Linked DNA regions of Tamandua tetradactyla. The protein of the gene in region 2 interacts with the protein of the main gene of each other region in a pairwise test. Links are inferred from orthologs where the notes say so. Each region holds a gene or a part of one and is shown on either strand. Other genes may lie near its edges.

Region 1 (7,283 bases), on a different chromosome or scaffold from region 2:
TCTGCCTTTCACGACTTATTTGGTCCAGGGACGTGTCTGAATATTGCAGGTTTCTAGAAAGTCACCCTAGTGTGTGGACTCTTGAAAGCAATGCAAAGTGAATTAATACTAACACATCATAATCGATGTAGGTCAGTGTCTTATGTCCATCTGTGATTTCAACTCTCATACCGATGGTCTATTGTACTTTATAATATTAAAGATTTGCTCTCCCCCAAATACCTATTCTCCAACCTTAAGATAGCTATTACATCAAGAAAAAAGAAAACAATGCCAGGAGTATCTCACTCCTTTAGTCAGAGCTATTAATGAAAACGTTGTTCTGGATCCTTCTATCGGGCACATCTGTCCTCAGACATCAGCTGGCTCCTGGTTTCCATGAGCTCTTCTCAGTGGTCCTACCTGGACCAGCTGCCCCTGTGCAGAGCTTTGTGTCCCACGGTGGAAACCTACTCAAGAACATTCCAGATCCTGAGTGACAAGGAGCATGGGGGATCAATCCAGGCATGTCAGCTGTGGTCCCTCCTCAGGAGCTGAGATGAGCTAGAGAGGATTTGACCGGGTCAGAGTGTGTCTCACCGCAAACATTCTCAGTGTTGTTGCTTTAAATTAATCACAAAGATTTAGAGAGTCTGTGCCTTTGGATGTGGAAGTGAAAGTAAATGTCCATCACTCTCCTGCCTACCCTGTTTGGTTTGGTAAAGCTGACGAAATGCAATATACCAGAAATGAACTTGCTTTGAAAAACATCGGAGTTCATTAGCTTCAAGTTTACATTTCTACGGCTGTGAAAATGTCCCAATTCAGGCATCAGTGGCGTGATGCCCCCTCTGAACACTGGGGCCAGCGAGTTTGGGCTCCTCCACCAGAGAACAGAGCACAGGCAGCGTCTGCTCACCCTTCATTGGTCATTGTTTTCAGCTTCTGGCCTCTATGACTTCCACTGTCAACTCTCAACTTCTCTGGGTGTGTTTCCGTGAGCTCCTGTTCATTTCATCTCTTAGCGTCTTTGTGTGTTTACCCTGTTATATAGGACCACCGTGCAAGGATTAATGCACAACGAGGCGAGTCACATCTAGGTGACATAACCTCCTCACAAGATTCCTTCTACAATAGGTTTACACTCGCAGGGATGGATTACATTTAAGAACATCTTTTCTGGGGTATATAATGCCTCCAAACCAACACACAGCCCTTCCCATTGACAGCACAAATGCCACCATGCAAAGAACTGACAACTCCTAGATTTCCTGATCTAGATCCAGGATTTTATAACTTCTCGAGGGCATGCTGTCCTGACGGAGGGGCACACGTTCAGCCACGTGGGAGGGCAGATGAAATGACCGTGATCACAGGTGGTGATGAGAAGGAACTTTATTCTCCACCGGCTCTGGCCCAGGCGCTGACAGGTACACGCAGGGGCAGGGCTGAGGGACAGGGGAGGGTCCTGGACGTCAGACGGAAGAGCCTTCTGGGGTGGCTCGATCCCCATGGAACAGCCCCACAGCTCAGCCTGGGGAAGCCACACCAGGGCGTCTGGGGAGGAGGCAGCAGGAGAGGGTCGTCCCTGGAGCTTTCGGTCTCTGTTTCCTGTGAAATCGCTTCTCATCACCGCGCTTCCAGGTCAGCAGCAGCCCCCAGAGCTGTGGCCACAGCCAGGTCCCCCAGACTCTCCCCTGCCACTGTCGCAGCCTTCGGAGCTCTGGCGCCGGCACCGGTGGGCTCTGCGGGGCCTGTGGGGGCTCAGGCAGCAGCCGCCCTCAGCGCTGTGGCCGCAGCCCGAAGAGGCTGGAGGCAAACACTGCGCTGGGCTCTTTGGGGGGCACTTGGGGGAGGGGCACTTGGGCGGGGGCGGGCACTGCTGCTGGCTCTGCTGGCAGGACATCTCGGCAGGAGTGTGACCTGGGACAAAATAAGAGACGCATGTGAGCTCAGATGCTTCAGACCAGTGTCTCCTCCTTCGTCTGCCATCCCACATGGGAAAGAAATGGGAACATGGAAGGCACACAGGCTTTTTCCTAAAACATCCTCATGGATATCAGATGGACCATGTACATCCCTGACAATATGCTCACATCCAGATGGGAAGGATCCCTGAGGTCCAGTGGATTTGTGGTCACAGAACCCCTAACATGTGTCCCAGGGGCTCCGTCCTCTCCACCACCTCTTCTCCCATTGACCGCTATGTGCTTCTTTCTGCTGTTTCCATTCTAGGCTTAAGCCTGTCTTCCCAGAACACTCCCAGCCAAGGTTCTGTCCCCTTCTAGACACTTACCAGTTGCAGAGGAGGCAGGAGAAGTTTGCTCCTGAGGAGGCTGTGAATGAGGAGTGCAGGTCAGCCGCCCTTTTATCCTGTGCTGGTTTGCGATACTCAGCTGAGCATGCTTGAGTGTGCACACCCCAGGGGAGATGATTGCATGAACACTCACAGCTGCCTGACCTCAGTACTTCTTGGGCACATGCCTAGAGGCCCAATGAGGTGACACTGGGACGTCCCTGTGCCTTGCAAATCACTTCCTCCTCAAGTCTGCTCTGGACCTGACCATGCATTCATCCTGCTTCCATGACCTCACACAAGCTCCGTCCCTGGCTCTTGCAGCAGTGGTCCTGTAGAGATGAAAGGGGCCTGGTCGTCCCTGGAGCAGCTCACCACCTAACTGGACCCTTCTCGAACAGAGACATTTGATCTGATGAGATCATTGTGACCACAGAAGTGTTCACAAAGGCTCCGAGCCAGGCTTCAGAGGTGAATCCCGCATTGCCCGGCCACTCTCCAGAGGACGGAGGAGCCACCTGGGGTTTGCAGGGCGTGGTGGCTGCACAGGGTCGTTGGCACGTGGGGATGTGACATTTAGGGTTGGAGGTGTAGGTTTGCAGCCCGTTGCTGTCCAGCATGGTTAAGCTCCAAAGAGGACTTCAGTCCCCACGGAGCGTGGAGACCAGAGCCGAGCTGAAGTGCAGAGGGGATTTACCATTGTAGAGGTGACAAGAAGCACAGCTGATATTTTTTAAAAAGAAGAATAGTGTTGTGCCCACATCCATGTGAATGTGGGATGTTGTTATGACTCTGAGAGAGTAGGAGCTTTCAGAGGAAGTGGTTCATGTGCTCGGAAGAGTTGCACAGAGGAGTGATGGCGATGGTTTTCTTACACGGTTGGTAACGGTGAGGTTAGTGATGGTGGAGTGGTATTAGGCTCATTTGGTAGCATTTACCTCACTATAGCTAAGGTTTATGTAAACGGAATATTGTTTGCCCATTGAGTTTAATCATGTTATTTTACAGATGTAATCTGTGATGATAATGAAATACAGTAGATTTTATTTACCAAAAAACATTACTTTAATTGTCATTGGTTTGTATATATGTTATACTATACAACAAGTTAAAAAAATTGAGACTTAAAAAGTCACATATTTAAATGAAATTAAATACAAGCTCATGGCAGCAAACATCTCTGATCTTCTGTGAGCCTGGAGGACTGGCTACTTGTTTTTAAATCTTAAATTAACAGTAAAGTCTACAGTTTCTGTTTTTCATTCCAATGTACCATTGACTCGTTTTGTGTCAGTGTTTCCAAGATTTCTTTCATAGACACGTGGGAGCATGAAGGATCTTGGAAGGAGATAACGGAGTTTCTGATGGTGGGAAAGCCAGGCCAGGCTTCCAAATAAGACCCCGGATCCCGTCTGGCCGTGTGTCCGTTTTAGCCTGCCTGCTGCACTGGGGAAAGCCATTCGCTTAATGTCAATCATCCTATAAACACTGTAAAGGGCATTTTTTTCATAGCAAACAGGACGATGAGACTGAAGAGGCACCACTGGTGTAGGAACACACTGCGCTGCCAGTAGCTCCGGCTTATAGGGTGGGCGGCAGGGGTGGGGACGACCTGCGGGAAAGGGGGTCTTCGGGAGGCCTGGGCCAGGCCAGATCTGCGCAAGCCCCTGATTCCCGGCCTCACTGGTGACCGGGCCTGGTCTCAGGCCGCTCTCCTTCCTCACTCCGTCCCCAGGTCTGCGTCCTCCCATCCACTCAACTTAAATCATTCCTGCCCAAGCCCTTCATGTGGGACGCCCAGGCTGAGTGTCAGCTAAGTGTCAGCAGAGAGGGTGGACACCAAACCAACATTTCCATCTGTGGTGACTCAGCCTGAAGGTGAAATGCGGGAGTCACAGGGCGGGACGGAGCAGAACCACTTTGTCCAACACCAGCTGCCGAGGTGGATCATTATCTTCCCACATGGTACCAGTTTCTCAGAGCCCATTTTTCAATCCCAATGATGTGTGATTTTGAGTTTCTAGACTTTGGGTATCATACATCTTCCACCGTCAGTGTGACTTAAAACATGTCAGAACATGTCGGAAGAAGTCCTCTCTGTTCCTCACATATTGAGCATGGACTTGCAGCTGGTTTCTTGCCACCTCCATTTCCCGAGTCCCTCAGATTACATTTCTCATATTCTGAAGTTCCCATCTTTGCCTGCCTGAGATGGAGTGCTGTAACCTCACCCCTGCCCTGACCTCACAGCCTGCCCTTTCCCTATCAGAACAGAGACCTCAGTGATCCTGAGAAGACAGAAGATGACCAAGGTCCAGTGAGAATGTCCTGGGAGCCCTGACATCCTGAGGACCAGGGATGATGCAATGAGGAGATTCCTGGCTGGCCCCAAATGAGGATTTCGTGTTTCATAGGCGCGCACATGTCAGCGGTGGGACAGGAAGGTTTAGTTCCAGGGAGAGACTTATGACAAGGCATGTTAGTAACACATGAGTAAAGAAACAAACAAATGAAGCTTGGCCTTTCGCCTTGGCAATGTGTGACAAGATATCACATAACATGATATCGCATGTGTAGAGCACTTGAGTTCCTTCTTGGAGAAGATGAGACGAGCAAGCCTGAAAATGGTACCCTGTGCTGCAATCGAAGATATTTATTCTTGGAGTTTGGTCAGTTTAGCTTTCTGATTACCGGATTTCAGGCACAAAGGTTTGAATTAACAATAATCCTTGGTTCATAAGATGTGCTCTTCATCAGCCCACGCAAACTCCCTTTACTCATTCATTTATCATTATTTAAGTAACAGACGCACAAAAATCTACCACTTCAGTGAAAACAAGGACTTTGAGAATCTTGTATCTGTGTAGTTCTCTCTCATCCCGTTCCTCTGCCTGTACGGTGTTCCTGAATAATGAATTTATCATTCTTTGCTTCTCTCTTTGTTGTTGTTGTTTTTTTTTGCATGGGCAGGCACTGAGACTTAAACCCGGGTCTCCATCATGGCAACCGAGAATTCTGCCAAGAGCCGTCCTCCCACTATCTTCTCTTTGTCTATCTTTTATCACATTTATATGTATTCCTAAAATGCATTACCTTTTAGTTTTTTCTGCTTTAAATCAGATTTCTTGATTTAAACAGGGTTTCGTGAGGCATAATTTACACACAGCAAAATTTACCCATTTAAATATACAATTCTATGAGCTTTGATGGATACATGTAATCATATAAGGAAAACACTACAATCACAATATAGAACAGGGCCATTACCCCAGAATATTCTCCTGTTCTTCTTTGTGCTCAACCCTCCGACAATGCCAGCCCTGTACAACCTCTGATCTGTTTTCTGTCCTCACAAATCTGCCTTTTCCAGAATGTCTTATAACTGGAATATATAATGTAGCATCTAAAGTCTGTCTTCTATCACATGGAATAATGCACTGGATACTAATTCATGCTGTCTCATGTACCAGTAGCTCATTTCTCTGTGTTGCTGAGCAGTGGCCCATTGCACAGATGACCACAGTGTGTTTACAATCCATCGGCTGGACATTTGGGCTGTGTCCAATTGGGTAATTGTGAATAAAGACATTACACAGGTTTCCTGAGACCAGAAATTTCATTTCTCTTGGCTAAATACCTAGGAGTAGGATTTCTGGGGCAAGTGTTTAGTGTGTGCTTAACTTTTTAAGAAACTGTTAAATTGTTTTTGAAAGCAGGTATACCATTGGGCATCCCACCAGCAAAGGTTGAGACATGTAGTCACTCTGCATCGTTTTTAGTACTTGGCATTTTCAGTTATATTTTATTTTCTAATCAATGTGTAGTAATACCTAATTTTTGTTTTAATTTGCATTTCCTAGATGACTAATGATTTTGAGTCTCTTTTCATCTGCATATTTGCCATTTGTTCTAGTTTTCTAGCTACCGGAATGCAATATACCAGAAGTGGAATGGCTTTTAAAAAGGGGAATTTAATAAGTTGCTAGTTTACAGTTCTAAGGCTGAGAAAATGTCCCAATTAAAGCAAGTCTATAGAAATGTCCAATCTAAGGCATCCATCCAGGGAAAGATACCTTGGTTCAAGAAGGTCGATGAGTTCAGGGTTTCTCTCGCAAGTGAGAAGGCACATGGCGAACAAGTCAGGCTTTCTCTCTCATCTGGAAGGGCACATGGCGAGCATGGCATCATCTGCTAGCTTCTTCTCCTGGCTTCTTGGTTCATGAAGCTCCCCGGGAGGCGTTTTCCTTCTTCATCTCCTGTTGCTGGCTGGTGGACTCTGCTTTGTGGTGCTGCAGCGTTCTCTGCTCTCTCTGAATCTCTCTCTCCAAAATGTTTCCTCTCTTATAGGACTCCAGGAAACCAATCAAGGCCCATTCAAACGGGTAGAGACATGTCATCCCCTAATCCAGTTTAACGACCATTCTGGACTAAATCACATCACCAGGGAGATGATCTCATTATAGTTTCAAATACACAGTATTGAATAGGGATTATTCTACCTTTATGAAATGGGATTTATATCAAAACATGGCTTTTCTTAGGGGGCATACTTCCTTTCAAACCGGCACAGGTGGTCTCTCACCGTTACATGTGATATTAGTTGTAAGATTTTTTGCAGACAACATTTACCTGGATGAGGAGGTTCCCTTGTGTTCCTTGTTTGTTGAGAGCTTTTGTCATGAATGGATGTTGCATTTTGTCAAATGCTTTTACTGAATCTATTAGTTTCATTTCCTTTAATTTGATGTGAATACAATAATGTCTCAACTACTCTTCTTAAACTTGCTGGCCTATCTGGAGATTAAAAAAGGCACGATTTTACAAATCATAAGTTGCTCCTGTAACCTAAATATGAGCTCATCCCTTCAGCCCATGAGTACAATGACGCATAATGAATTTATTTGCCCAAATCACAGTAGCTAGAAATGACCACCATCCCAAATAGTCACAAAATATCTCCAAGTCCATTCTGGGAGTCACGTCAGAGAAGCCAGTCTGACAGCTCTCT
Region 2 (7,626 bases):
AGCTTTTGCTGCCACTGGAATATTTAGACGTTGGGTTTTGGTGATAATTTCTCACCTCTCGCTCTGCCAGATTCTGTAATATCTATACTCTATTCAGTGAGTTCAGAAACAAGTGTTCCTGTCCTTACTCGTCGTGAAACATCTTAGATTAAGTTCAGATCTGTTTGAACCAAATATCTGTGAATTAAGACCAGATGCCTGCTTCCAGTCTACCAAGCCACTAAATCAGAATTCAGGGAAATGGGAATGTTAGTTTATTTCTCTTTCCCCACAAGTGATGGAGACAGTCCCTAAAAGGTAAGATACTTGGGGTAGTGGGTCTGGGCCAGATAGTCCTGGGTTTGAATCATGGCCACCATCTAGCTGGGTGACCCTAGGCAGCTCACTTAACTTCTCAAGAGTCTTGGTTTTCTCATCTGCTGTCAATGAAGTCATATGCATCAAACAAGGCTGTTTTGAAGATCAAAATGTGTATGCTCAAGAACTTATCCCTCCAAATATGCAAGGCATATGGAAGATGTTCAGTGTTAGTTGAGCCTGAGAGATGAGTCTTTGAAAAGATTACATGACTACTCTCAGGGATAGCCTTCTCAGTTACATTCCCTGGGCATAGGCAGCACCCAAATGTAAGCTCATGGTAAAAAGACCTGAACAGCCTCAGTGTTTTCTTCCAGAGGAAAAAAGAAGGCTATAGAACCCTAGCAAGACACCGGAAGGGAATGATTCCGCAGATGACAAGGCAACAAACTCTAGCTGGCTTCTCTGGCTTTCTTCCTGATGGGGAGAGGGTGGGGGTCGAGGGTTCAAACAGTGCCCCTTTGCCCTCTCAAACCTCCACAGGACCTGCTCCTCTGGCACATGTCCTCCCTCTGGGTGGGCAAAAAGCACGGCCTCCCGGTCAGGCTCCTCGGAACTTCTCCCGCCACCCACGCTCCCCAGGTCCTTAGCTGCCTCGCTGGCACTCTATCTCCTTTCCCGGTGCCGAGTTCTCAGAGCTGCCAGGGGGTCCCCGTGCTCCAAGACCCGCGTTCCTGGGCCTGGAAAGCAATGACATCAAAAACCATCTGCGTTCTCTTACTTCAGCCGCACCAGTCCGCATCTTTTTCTCTGCGGCTGCCGCGTCCAGGCGCCGAGGGCGCTGACCCCAGCCCTTGCCGCTACTTCCCGCAGCGCGAGCAGTCTCAGAAGCGCGCCTGCTGCGAGGACGCCCCTCAGTATGCTCCCCTCCCATTCCCAGCGGGGAGCGCGATGGAGGGCTGTACGGAGTGTGTGCGGGGGGGAGGGGTGTACTTGCTGGAACCCGCTTACACAGTTCCCTCCACACCATTTCTAGCAGGGGTTCGGGGTTCGGAATCTCGAGGAAACCAGGACGCTAACCCTAGTTAGCCCGGCGGAACATCCAAATCTGTTCCGTTTCTAATCATCCCCATTGCATCACCTCAATTTATAAGCATTTTTTACTCAGCAGGGCGACTCTCCCTACAGACTGCGAGAGGCACCCCACGAAAACCTCGCACCCCGCTGCTGGCCCAACTGTTGCCCCAAGGCTCCGACTCTTGGCCCCGCACGTCTCGCCCCGGGAATGGTGGTTTTTCCGTTATAGAATCCGGTCGACCCGACACGTAAGTTTCCCACGTCCCGCTTCGATCCCCACCATCCCCCAAGTCCGGAGGCCCCACGCGGGTCGGGTGCTAGGGAGGCGAGGACGCGCGGAGGTCTCTCCCCAGATCCGCGCTCACGCCTGTTCCCGCCCCCTCTTTCCACCCCCGCCTCCCTCCTCCCTTCCAGCTCCAGTCCTCGCGCCTCCTACGACCAGCGGTTCTCTCGCCCAAGAGGAAACTTCTTTCTGGGCGAAATTCAGGTCCGAGCAGGAAAAGCTTTCCCTTCCGTGCCGTCCTACCTCTTCCCTGTTCTCGAAAATCACAAGGAGCGGTTCCAGGGCCCCCGAAACACCTTATCCCACCCCCCCCCTGACGCCCACCCGCTGAGATTTTCCCTCAGGCGACCAATGCTCTTTGACTTTCCAGGTCAAAAGGTCCCGGGAGGGTCTGAAACAACTCCAAATTTTTCCAGAGACCCTACCTGTCCCGCGTGGCTTGTAAACAAAACACAAACCCCAGCAACTTGTGTGTGTGTGTGTGCGTCTGTGTGTGTGTGTGTGTGACAGCGAGAAAGAATATCGCCCAGGAGTTAGGGCAACAGCTGCAACAGCACATCTGGAAGAGGGGGAGGGGGTTGACCCCGAGGGCGCGAGAAGCGGGGTTCGCAAGCACCAGTCTCCCCGCCCCAAGCAGCTTACAGGGCCCGAGGACGGGTCAACCCGGCATTACCTGTCCTAAATTGATGAATCCATACTTGCTGGCGATGCGGTTGGCCTCCGGGAAGCCGCCGGCGATTTTGACCGCCCAGTGGTTGGTGTAAACGCGCGTCCTGCACACGGGGAGCAGGCAGCCCCCGAGCAGCGCCAGCAGGCACAGCAGGTCCAGCCGTCCCGGGCAGTAGCAGCGGTTCCCCCAGCCCATGGTCCCGGCGCCTCGCTTCTTCCGTTGCCCTGCTCGTTTGCTCGCTCCGCGCACTAAACGGCGCGCACAACTAACTTCTCTGGCCTGGGCCGCCCGGGCGCGCAGCCCCCCGGCTGCCGCTACTCGCAGCCCTGGGCGATCAGCAAGAGGCGGCGAGTCCCGGCAGGGAGCAGAGCAGCGAGCCTCGCTCTGGCCCCTAGACCATCCCTGGCGCTGCGGAGACCTGTGCTCCCAGCTCTCGGGCCAGCGGGACGGTCGGCGGGCGCTCCCGGGCTCCGGCGCGCGAGGAAGCGGAGTGGGGCGGGCGCCCTCCGGCAGTTGGGTTTCGCTCCGCTGGACTCACGGACTCTCCAACTCGACCCCGCTCCTCCCAGGGCCCCGGAGCGCGGCGGAGGCGGTGAAGGCGGCCGGCGGGGGCGGTGCAGACAGCGGCCGGGCGCCCCCTCTGCTGGCCCCGGCTCCCAGCGCGCGCTCGCTCGTTTGCTGCCTCGCGCTCCCTCGGGCTCCAAGCAGTGCGCGGGGAGTGCGAGCGGCAATGGCAGCAGCGCCGGCTCTGCATAAATGACTGCCGCCCCTAGCCCCCCTTAACACCCCTCCTTTCCCACCTCCCCCTCCTCTTCTCCCTCCTCCTCCCGCCCCAAAGCGGCTGCAGCCAAGCGCCAACCAGGTCCTAGCGCCGTCGGGTTCTCCGACTGTAACCTCCAGGGTTCCGGGCAGCAGAGGGCTTGGGAGGAGGGCTCTGTGTTCGTGGTTTTACCTCCCTCTCCCCATTCCCTCCTGGATTTGTATTAATTTACCGCCACATACCGAAAGACTAAAGAGATGTACACGCTGGTGCGCGTCAATTGCCCAGAAGATTCATTCATCCTCCCTCTGAACGTCCTTAAACAACTAAGTATTTAAGGAGGTCACTTGCGTGTCAATTATCGAACAAGTAACCTGAGCTTTTCACTTCGTTAATTTTTCAGGTTTTTCAGCTTCTGTTTATTTTACACATTCTGCTCCCGAGGGAGACTGCTACATAAGACCTTCAGGCGCATCGACCCTTGCAAAAGGCAAACCAACGTGGTTCCAAAGCCAAGTATGTTGCCAGCTAACTTTCGAAATCGGTGCATCTGACACTAGGCAACGCCACGGGAGAGTAAAATTCCAGCCGTGGAATTTAAGAAGGATGTTTCTATGAATATTTGGTAGGAAAGTAGGTGGAGATGTCGGGCCAAGGGAATAACTTTATTTGTTGGACTGAGTCTGATGAGGATTTCTTTTTCCAGCTTTTCTAAGCCCAGTCCTGTAACAGTGAAAGACTTCAATATAAAAAGGACCACAGAGGAAGTTAGGTCTTCTTTACTGTACCAGGCACTGTACTGCAGAAGGCAGGAAGGATTTTGGATGAACCTGCTTCTCCTTCACAGCCTCTCTGCCTTTTTAAGCATAGAGCTATTTCTTGTGAAAAGAAAAAAGGCTATCTCTTAAGAAATAATTTAACCTATCTTAAAAGTATTCATTCTCTCCTTAACAATTTCCCTCCCCACTTCCGCCCTCCTCCCCCATCCCACTCCTCCCCCTATCCCAGATAACTTTGTTCTTTAGCTTTAAATGTATGGAGATTAATTAACCCACCGCACCTATAGTCTTGGGTAATGAATCTTTTATCTGCCTCCGGCCTCACTTTTCTTTTCCTTTGGCTGAAAAGTATTTGCAGACTCAAAACTCTGCTAGCACCTTGGAGCATCATAGTTTATGATATTTTACAACTTGTATAAGAAATGTTATATTATTTGATCTTCAAAACAAGCCATGGAATACCATTATCTGCACATTAGTGGTGAAGAAGCGGTGGATCAGAACTAAATCGCTTGTAGAAAGAATGTATTCTTTCATTCATTCATTTATTGGGTAATTCAACAAATCTGTTTTTGGTATAGGCTTTTTGCTGAATACTGGAGAAATGAGGGGGAGGGAGGAGGTAAAAAGAATTAGTGGAATTCAGACTCTCTAATTCTAAAGTAAATGTGATTTATTAATATTATTGTGATCTTTATCACTACCATTTATAGGTGAAAAAGCATAAACCCTATGCTTGAGCTTTAGAGTTTGGCACAGTCACCTACTGGCCAGTCCTTTTGTACAGATCCCTTCCATCCTTTTCCAACCTTGGAAACTTGGTGTCCATAGTCAGTCTTCCTTTCCTCCGAATTGTAGGCCTTTGTGTAAGTGTCAGGTGGGAAGCAGAGCGGGAGGGTGTATTCACTCTCTACTTAACAACTTCTCTCCCCACTCTGAGGAACTGCACAAGGCTGCGTCTTGAGTCCTGTGGGTTTTCTCCAGGATTCTGGGGCTGCTATTGTTTAGGACTGCAAAGGTAGTATGAAAGGCTTCTCTCTGAAAGCCATGTTACCTCTGGGCTTCAACTTCTAAATAAAGTGAAGAGAAATCACTCACTGGACCAGCTTTCCTGAGGCCTGGAGACTGTTTCCTAGGAATGGCAAATTACTCATTGATATTTTTTTCTCCATGGTGTCTTTCTCTTTCTCGTTCCACCAACACTCTTGCCTTCTGTGAGCATGCCCTGCTTGGCATGCACATACCATTCACTGCACTGAACATGAGAGAGAATTGGAAAGTGAAGTAGGAAGTGGGCAAGCCACTTTGCCGCTTTGTAAACCAAACCCTGGGCCAGCATTTAGCTTACTCAAAGGGCATATTCTTCCATTTGGACGAACTTGTATTTGTAAGGGGAAAACCCAGCTCTATTAACCAAGGAAGATTTGGAACCCCCTTCATCTGCCAAATCAAATTTATGAATGTAGAGTCATTCATTTTATTGTCTGTCATCTTTGCAGTTATCGTCTGCTTCAGTTAGAAGAGCATTCTCAGGACTGTGATTCCTAAACTTAAACGATAGTGAAGGCCCTCTCCCACTGACACCCAGGCACACCCTGCTTTGGAACCTGCACAGGTGAACTCATTAGTTTCTTAGAGCCTGTTGGCCAAGAATGAAGTTTCTAGATAAGGATCAATAGCTGCAACAAAGGATATCTTATTTCGTGACCTTGGCTGTGCTGGTTATCATAGCAGCCGGATTACAAATACCTCAATAGCCAAAGAGAAGAGGAACTGATAAAATAGCATTAATTAGTATAAAACCATTACCGATATTGGAAAAGAAGCTGAAATCCAAGGCTTGCAGGAATGCTTCTTTTTTGTATTTGGACGATATTGCTGCGTGATTTGACCCTCCACTCTCAATCTGGAACTTGCCATTGGCAGGAAACCAGGCAGTTTCAAGTTTTACTTTGCCTTATACTTAGCAACATATTACATGATAATGAGGCCCTGCTAGTGTTTGGCCTCTTTACCAAGGTCCCTTACAGCTTGGAAAGAAAATTTCAGTGAAAGGCAATGAAGAGAAATCCAGGCAGTTTAGTAGAAGTAGTGTAGAGGAACCTCCACAAGGAATCATCTTGAAATTCTGCAAATGGGAATTATTCTGGGGAGAATTTGCCTCCTCAGTTACCTCATTTATGCCTTTGCTACATGCTTTACTGGAAATTGACCTTTAAGATATTTTCTAACCTGAGATTCTGTGTATTAATGATAAGTTGGTAATGGGCAGTTTGGAGCCAACCAAGGGGAAAAAATGTTACTAGACATTTCATGGCCCAGTAGAAGAGTTGGCACAGCTGTGGGGATCCTAAACAGTTTTCCTGAATATTAAATTCAGAAAGTTTGTCAAATTTAATAATCATAATAATAAATTATTGTAATAACTACCATTTACTAAGCAATGCCAGGCACTGGGCCAAACACATTTCAGGACTTAATCTCACATACAGAGCATCAGAATTGAAAGGGAACGTAGATGTCATATAAACGAACTTCTTTATTTAATAGATAAGAACACTGAGGTCAATAGAAGACTAATTTGGAGGACAGTAACCCTACCTGGGAAGTTAACAAATGGATAAGTAATATAAATAAAATAAAGGAAGCGCTGCATGGACTGAGGATAGCAATGCACTATGAATCAAGGATTAAAACTAAAATTAATCTACTCTTAATTGATTAAGACATGAATAAGATAAACCCTATCAGGAGAATGAAAACTTGTTGAAACATTTCAGATTCGTTAAGTGTTCATATGCGACCATTTAAAATATATGATCTGTGACATGCATGTTCCAAGGGTAAGAGTTTTTCAATGTGTGATATCACATTTACAGCACGATTTTTTTTTTTAATTGTGTAAGTTTTTTTTTTAATTTTTTTTATTAATCTAAAAAAAGAAAAGAAGTTAACACAACATTTAGAAATCATTCCATTCTACACATGCACTCAGTAATTCTTAGTATCATCACATAGATGTATGATCATCATTTCTTAGTACATTTGCATCGATTTAGGAAAAGAACTAGCAAAACAGCAGAAAAAGATATAGAATGTTAATATAGAGAAGAGAATTAAAACAATAATACTAATATATATATAAAAAGGAAAAAGAAAAAAACAAAAACAAAATATACAAACACACAAACAAACAAACAAAAAACCATATTTCAGGTGCAGCTTCATTCAGTGTTCCAACCTAGTTACATTACACTTAGGTATTATTGTGCTGTCCATTTTTGAGTTTTTGTATCTAGTCCTGTTGCACAGTCTGTATCCCTTCAGCTCCAATTACCCATTATCTTACCCTGTTTCTAACTCCTGCTGGTCTCTGTTACCAATGATATATTCCAAGCTGATTCTCGAACATCGGTTCACATCAGTGGGACCATACAGTATTTGTCCTATAGTTTTTGGCTAGACTCACTCAGCATAATGTTCTCTAGGTCCATCTATGTTATTACATGCTTCATAAGTTTAGTCTGTCTTAAAGCTGTATAATATTCCATCATAGGTATACGCCACAGTTTGTTTAGCCACTCGTCTGTTGATGGGCATTTTGGCTGTTTCCATCTCTTTGAAATTGTAGATAATGCTGCTATAAACACTGGTGTGCAAATGTCCGTCTGTGTCTTTGCCCTTAAGTCCTTTGAGTAGATCCCTAGCAGTGGTATTGCTGGGTCGTAATCCATTCTGCCATTCTATGTCTTTTGATTGG
Region 3 (7,472 bases), on a different chromosome or scaffold from region 2:
TTATTTTAAAATTGTTTTTAAACTGAGTATTATAAACTAAGGGTGAACATTTAGGTATTTAAGGAAAATGTAGACACTATAGATTAACTGAAAGATATTAAATAACTCTCAGTGCTTTCATTATTCAAGGCTGCCGGCTGCCATGCTGAACCATCTAACTCCACTTCAAATGGACTCAGCAAAACTTCAGTCCTGATAAATCAATCTTGCTTTTAGATTAGAAACCGAAATTACTCAACACAATTACCCTCTCTTGCGCCCTCTTCTGGACTGAAAAAACTGTTCTTTATAGATTTGTGGGTAATAGGTCACAAAAGCCCACTTCAACATATTACAGGTATTTACTTTTCCCCCCAACTTTTTCTAGTAAATTAGCATCATGTATATCAATGCAAATGCACTGTGACTTCACCACACATGAAAAGCTGCTCATTCCAAATGGTTTAAATTTTTTCAAAACTGCAAACCCACTTTTCCCTCTTTATTCCCTTCCAGGATAAAACATACTATTTCCGGGTCGCTTCTCTATGAAGAAAGGAGTCCTGCAAGGACTACTCAACCTGACCAATAAGAGTGACAACACACTCCAAGCAACTTTAATAAGGTAAGGTTTCTCATCTTTAAATTGAACAAGATTTAGTGTTATGTGGTTCCTGTAAGTTTAAAACTGTTTCCTATCCTTAGGATTAAATATTCTTAACATATTTATGTGACCATTTTTTCTGCCTAAGAACTCACCAGTCCTTAACACACCCCACAAAATGGAAAATCTGATATTCTAAGTACAATCTTCTAGTACATTAAGCCTGCGAAAGAAAAGCAGTTTTTCTCCAGCTCTTGATAGCTACTTGCATCAAACTTGATCTGCTGGGTTTAATATTCACTCGTTATCATTCTCTCACTTCTCATCAATTTATAAACTCTTATTTTTAAAAAATTTGCGAGGGTGTATACTTTTAAGTTCATTTCTTCACATCTCACCATTTAATGTTTATCAAAAATGAGAAATCTGGGATCAATACAGATTTCAAAATGCAAAAAAGCCTCATGTAAGGCAATAAGGTAGTGACCCAACCTCATGGTTGAGCCACCTAGGTTCATCTTTAAAGACGAGGTTAAAAAAAATAATAATAATTCGCCCTCTGCCCGGTCCAACTAACATGTTTAGTCCCTCTCCTGAAAAAGACACTATCCAAGCCCATGAGGTTGTGTTGGGAGGGCGACAAGGGGCGCGGAAAGAGAAAAGCTGTTTTCTGTGTTGAAAACGAGCTGCTGGAAGGCAAAGACCCAAGCGAAAGCCTCAGAGGCGGAGTCGTGAGCGAACCTGGCAGGAGATGAGGTTCCAGTGGCAGAGAAAAACTCGTGACCGGGGAGCTCGGTTCCCGCTGGGTACCCCACCCGGCCTTCAGGCGCCGCCTCTAGTCAAAACGTATCCCCCCCGCACCCCCACGCCAGCCCTCCAACCCTCCAGCCCCGGCAAAAGCCGCGGCCGCCAACCGCGGCCTCCTCTTTCCCCTCTCGGCTCCGCCTGGAGGCCGGCTCCCCGCCCTGACCACCCGCGCCTCCCGCCGCACCCGGGAGCGGGAAACGCGGTCGCCGGCGCGCGGAGCCGGGCACAGGCCGCTCCCCTCGTGGCCGCTTCCCTCCCCCACCTCAACCGCCCCCGCCCCTCACCCCAGGGACCCGCCCGGGGCCGCGCGGCCGCCACCGGGTTACACAACCCGGACCGGCCACGGGGGGAGGGGCGGCCACGGGCCGGGGTCTCCCCCGTAGCGGGGAGAAAACGGCGACTGCAGGCGGGGTTCCCGGGTCACCCGGCTCCGCCGCGCCGGGCACCCCTCGAAACCCTTCCCTCCGCTCCTCAGTGGGCCGGAGTCGGTGACAGGAATCGGCTTCCAACATGGCGGACAGGAAGCGGCCCCGCGAGGAGGAGAGAACATTCCAGCCGCGCCGGCTCTGGGGGGAGCGGGCCCGGGGCGCCGGCCCCGGGAGGAGCCTCGGACAGAGACCGCAGGCTCTCGTACCCCAAAGAGGTGTTTGGGGTAGAAAAGACCCGAGAAACGAGGGGTCCCAGCCAGCCCCCAGACGGGGAACCCCAAGGCCACAGGTGGGCTTGGGGTGGCGGGTGACGGAGGACATTACTTCAACTCTGCCCACCGACCCTCCTTGCCGCCTGTAAAAGGGTCTCGCGTCACCCACCCGAGTCGGGATTCACTAGGCCTTCCGGAGTTACACCCCAAATGATTTTTTTTTGGAGGGATAGACTCACCCCATATCATGGCCCCAAATTGAGGCCAATTCTGGGCCACAAGGAGAATAGTAAAGGAATAATACGGCTGGCCTTTAAGGCCGACCCTCCGGGTCTCCCCTCCAGCCGGGGCGGGGGCCGGGAAGGTCACACTGGCCTGGCTGGGCCTCTCCCGTGCAGAGGGGAAGGAGAGGGCGCTGCAAACACCCGCTCCCCTGGCCGAGCCCGGGGAAGGTTTGGGAGAATGAAAAGGGCACCCCCAGACCAAGAGGACATACACAGACACATGCATACCCCAACACTGTCCAAGCTCTTCTGGTCCAGCCCCACCCCCATCGCCCCTGCCCCCTACCCCAATCCCCTTCCCCCACCCGTCCTCCCTCCCAGACCTGTTTTCTTCTTCGGCGTTTCCTGGTGTTGCTGGAGGGCGTGTTTCTGCTCATGTTTCAGCGGCTTTGGCTGGGCCTTGGGGCTGCCCTCGGCTCCATGCTGCAGATACTGGTGAGGCTGCTGGTGATGGTGGTGGTGGTGGTGGTTGTGGCTGTGGTTGTAGAAATAATAATGGTGGTGGTGGTGCGGCTGCTGCTGCTGCTGCTGTTGCTGCTGCTGCTGCTGCGGGTGATGGTGCGGATGGTGGTGGCTGTGATGGTGTTGAGGCTGTGGCTGGCCGGGCTTCTCCTCCATTGAAAGCGGCTGGGACTCCCTGGCTGAGGCTGCAGGCTGCTGCACCGTCAGGATCTGAGACTGCTTCTTAGGGCTCACTCAGTATATCTGAGAGCGTCTCGCCAGCGCACTGGTTAACTGAGCGATTCTACGAGATTGGCAGCCGCGCTCCAACAATCAGGAACCAGGTTGCGCCACAGGCCCCGCCCCCTAGCCCAAATCCTCTTTCCTTCCCCTTAGCCACTGCCTCCTGGCCAACGCCACTTACCCTATGCAACCTCACAGGGCCGGGCCTTCAACGTCAGCACTATGGCTCTCTCTTCTGTCGCTTTCTCTCTTTCACCGCGCAGTATGCTATCAGCACTTTCTGCACTCTTCGCCGGCAAGCAAGCCCAAGTCGAATGGAGCAGATTCCACTGGCGCTGGGAGCCATCTGTTGGTTTTGAACCCTAGAATCTGTTGGCTTTTTTTTTTTTTTTTAAATCCTTTTCCGGATAACCAGAGGGGAAGCTCAATTCCTTTAACCCTAAAGGGGCAATACAAAAAGAGGAAATAAATATATTTTTAAGAAAACGAGAGCTTCCCAATCCAGTAGATCATTTTGTATTCTGGATTCATTTTGCTTTGTATTCATATGCTAATCTCTTCCTTTCCACGAAGGGATTATAGGATTCCACAATGGGGTATCTGTGTAATTTTCTAAAAGGGCACAAAGGGTTTAAATCATTGTTTCTTTGTAGTTGGAAGCAAAGGAGAGCAGGAGGAATGAAAATCTACAGTGGAGATTTTTAAATTATTATTATTAAACTTTGCAGGTGAAAATTGTAGAACCAAGATAGGTTTTAGAATGTGAAGAGTTTGAAGAGCAAAAGAGGGGAGAAAAGAGCACTTTAAAAGTTTGCTTGTTCATTTTCCTTGCATTTATTGAAAACGTTGAAGTTTAAAGAGATAAACAAGAAGGAAATACAGCTAAGTCTACTAGAATTATGGCTTTTTTCTATTTTTGTAGAGTTAATTTAAATTATCCTGCATTATCACATCACAGTCTGATTTATTAAAGCAAATGTTAGGGTAAGAATAGTGGTTAGGAAAGAAGATGAGGGTTGTAATGGGGAGAGGCACAGGGATATCCTCTGGTTATATTTTTATTTCTTGACCTAGATGGTGATTACACTTATATTTGCTTTATCATTATTGAACTGTATATATACATATATGTATAACACACTTATCTCACTGAGTGCCTTATTTTATAATTTTTTAAATGTGGCTTGAATTCCTTCCTGTATTTATACAGCAGGACTACATTAAACGAACAAAGAAGCTTAAAAGCAAAAAGTTTGTGCCCTGAAATTAATCGATGTCAATGTGAAAGCATAATTAAAAGGTAAAAGCCTGTTTCCAACAGCAAACATCAGTGAATCCAGAAAACCAGGACCAGACCTTGGCTTGTTTTCTTTAGAAAGGGTTTGCATTGCCTTGCTAAATTTTAAACAAAGACCCTTGGGGGGTGGGGGAGGGGTGCAGGGTACGGGTGGGAAATACATTTACTCAACTTTTGGGGCCAAAGTTCTAATAATAACACCATATAATGTCATATGTCTTTCACACTAGTTTTCCATCACTTTCCCATCCATTGAAAGAAAAATAAAAGTGTATATAGCATTTAGGATTATGATAATATGCCCTATGTTCTTTTTATGACTCAGGCATTTAGTTGGAAGGCAAGAATTCTTGAGCTCTACCTTCTCTTTCTACATTTTCCACGTTATACTTGCAGGCAAACCAGTAGCACTCCTGAGTTTCTGACTTCTCACACCTTCACCTGCCTTAATTTCTTCAACAGTTCTATAGAATTTAGGAAACTAAATGTTGCTGTCAGATGCTCCAGTTACTATGAATGTTGTCTTACTAGTATATAGAAATATGAAGAAAGGCTTGTGATGTAATGTAAAACAAATGCAGACTATTAAATTCTATGTACACTAGGATCATAACCTTATAAAAACATGAATATTTTTTAAAACAAGAATGGAAACACAAGAGTAAAATGAATACCTTTCTTCCGCTGATTTTTCTATTTTTCTAAAGTAGTTTCATGTAAATTATATTTGAGATTTGCCATGTATTTAAAATATTTAATTATTATAATGCCATAATACCAAACCTCCATGAAAAGAAAATAAGTGGGTCTACTGATTTCGAGCCTATTTTTAGGAAAGACTCTGCATTAAGGAAAAAAAAAGCACAAGAAGGAAATACAGAATGGTGGAATTTTTTTTTCTCTATCTTTCAAATACTTTCAAACTCTGTGAAATAGTTATGTTTTATAATGCAAACATTATTGTTTTTAATGAAATTAATTTTTTTTCAATAGCCAGAAAGTAGAAGCAACCCAAAAGGCCATCAATGGATGACTAAACAAAATGTGGCACATACTTACAATGAAATATTATTTAGCCTTAAATAGGAATGGAGTTCTAATACATGCTAATATGGTTGAACCTCGAATACATTATGTTGAATGAAATAAGTCAGACACAAAGGGACAAATATTATATTTTTCCATTTACATGGTATGCTGGTTTGAAAGGATGTATGTCCCCTAGAAAAGTCATGTTTTAATCAAAATCCCATTTCATAAAGATAGAATAATCCCTGTTCAATACTGGATGTTTGAAACTATAATCAGATCATCGCCATGGAGATGTGACTTAATCAAGAGTGGTTGTTAAACTGGATTAGTTGATGACATGTCTCTGCCCATTTGGGTGGGTCTTGATGGGTTTCTGGAGTCCTATAAAAGAGGAAACATTTTGGAGAATGAAAGAGATTTCAAGAGAGCAGAGAATGCTGTAGCACCACGAGGCAGAGTCTACCCGCCAGTGACCTTTGGAGATGAAGAAGGAAAATGCCTCCCGGGGAGCTTCATGAAACAGGAAGCCAGGAGAAGAAGCTAGCAGATGACGCCATGTTCACCATGTACCCTTCCAGATGAGAGAGGAACCCTAACGGTGTTCACCATGTGCCTTTCCAGATGAGAGAGTAACTCTGACTATGTTCGCCATGTGCCTTCCACTTGAGAGAGAAACCCTGAGCTTCATCGGCCTTCTTGAACCAAGGTATCTTTCCCTGGATGCATTTGATTGGACATTTCTATAGACTTGTCCTAATTGGGACATTTTCTCAGCCTTAGAACTGTAGACTAGCAACTTATTAAATTCCCCTTTTTAAAAGCCAATCTGTTTCTGGTATATTGCATTCCAGCAGCTAGCAAACTACAACACATGGAATAGCTAGACTATGCAAATTCATACAGACAGACAATAGAGTACAGTTAACAGGGGTAGCGGTGAGAGGAAAATGGGGAGTTAGTGCATAATGAGTGAAGGGTTTCTGTTGGGAGTGGTGGGAATGGTCCGGAAATGGATAGTAGTGAGGACAGCATAACACTGTGAATGCAATTAATCCCACTGTAGGCTATGTTTGGGCATGGTTAACATGTGAAAGTTTATGTTGGATGTATGTTTCTACCATAAACAAAAAACAATAAGAGGGCTTCCATTCAACCAAGATGGTGGTATAAGATGCCCAAGGGTGCCATTCCCAACAGAATCTTTGAACAACTTTAAAAAACTGGCAGAGCCACTTTTGTCAAAACAACAGAAAACAGTTAAAGAATTGCAATAACTGGGTAAATACCGAATCAATGAAACACAGCTTTAAAATGGTAGGACTAAATCATGGAGCCCTTGCTTGCCCCTCTCCCACCTCCTCCCCAGCATGGTTTGGAGCCAGCATGTGCTCTTATTGTGGGTCCCTGGCCCTGCCCAGGAAGAAAAAGAGTAAGCCAGAATGGGCATATGGGTTGGCAGCTTGAAAGACTGACACAGGTTGACCCTGCCAGAACTTGCCCTGCAGGCAATTTGTGGACAACTAAAATGGTGTAATAAATAACTCTAAGCAGCCTTGGGCAAAGGATTACTTAAATCAGTAGAAGTGGCATTTAAATTACTGTAAACACAGGAATTCCTAAGGCAAGAAGCAAGTACAAGCCCAGGAAAAGAAACAGATACCATAGTTCCAAGTAGGTTCATATAAGACAGAGAGGACCTGGTCACTTCACATTCACCTAGGGTTGATATTCTTGATAGAAGGGCTAAGCTCTGAAGGAAACCACCAGCCAAAGCAGAGCCAATTTCCAAAGATCATGAAATGTGCCTTTTGCTTTGGTTGGTTTGTTTCAGTGGATCCTGGCACTCTGTCATACCAGATAGAGACGTAAAGAACAGACAGCTCAGGGACTAAATCCCAGAGTTAACACTTTAAAATATTAAAATGTGTGTGTAACTGAGAAGTTAGGATTTAAGGGATGATTATAATTACTGAATTATTATATAGGTGCTCCTTTTTACTTTCTGGTATATTTGAGTAGACAGAGGGAAAGACCTGAAATCTTTGAACTGTAATTCAGCCACCTTGATTGCTGATAATGATTGTATAGCCTTTCTCTTGTGCCCTTGTGATTGTAAAAACCTTGTGACTAACCTTCACTTTTACC

What was found.
Region 1: the proteins of PCSK5 (region 2) and late cornified envelope protein 3C-like interact in binary tests that used the Homo sapiens proteins (3 or more experiments, as listed by UniProt). The two-hybrid records come from large-scale screens. The link is inferred for Tamandua tetradactyla from reciprocal best matches to the Homo sapiens genes PCSK5 and LCE3C.
Region 3: the proteins of PCSK5 (region 2) and NUFIP2 interact in binary tests that used the Homo sapiens proteins (3 or more experiments, as listed by UniProt). The two-hybrid records come from large-scale screens. The link is inferred for Tamandua tetradactyla from reciprocal best matches to the Homo sapiens genes PCSK5 and NUFIP2.

Annotation. Positions count from the first base shown.
Region 1 is NC_135330.1:2,606,236-2,613,518, forward strand, and holds late cornified envelope protein 3C-like, read right to left. Parts: upstream 2,362-7,283; 5' UTR 2,276-2,361; intron 1,903-2,275; 5' UTR 1,886-1,902; coding exon 1,625-1,885; 3' UTR 563-1,624; downstream 1-562. UniProt on the Homo sapiens protein: A structural component of the cornified envelope of the stratum corneum involved in innate cutaneous host defense.
Region 2 is NC_135328.1:106,313,760-106,321,385, reverse strand, and holds the start of PCSK5 (proprotein convertase subtilisin/kexin type 5), read right to left. Parts: upstream 3,020-7,626; 5' UTR 2,523-3,019; coding exon 2,331-2,522; intron 1-2,330. UniProt on the Homo sapiens protein: Serine endoprotease that processes various proproteins by cleavage at paired basic amino acids, recognizing the RXXX[KR]R consensus motif. Likely functions in the constitutive and regulated secretory pathways.
Region 3 is NC_135332.1:52,447,413-52,454,884, forward strand, and holds the start of NUFIP2 (FMR1-interacting protein NUFIP2), read right to left. Parts: upstream 3,063-7,472; 5' UTR 2,933-3,062; coding exon 2,638-2,932; exon of another isoform or gene 2,588-2,637; intron 1,454-2,587; exon of another isoform or gene 739-1,453; intron 1-738. UniProt on the Homo sapiens protein: Binds RNA.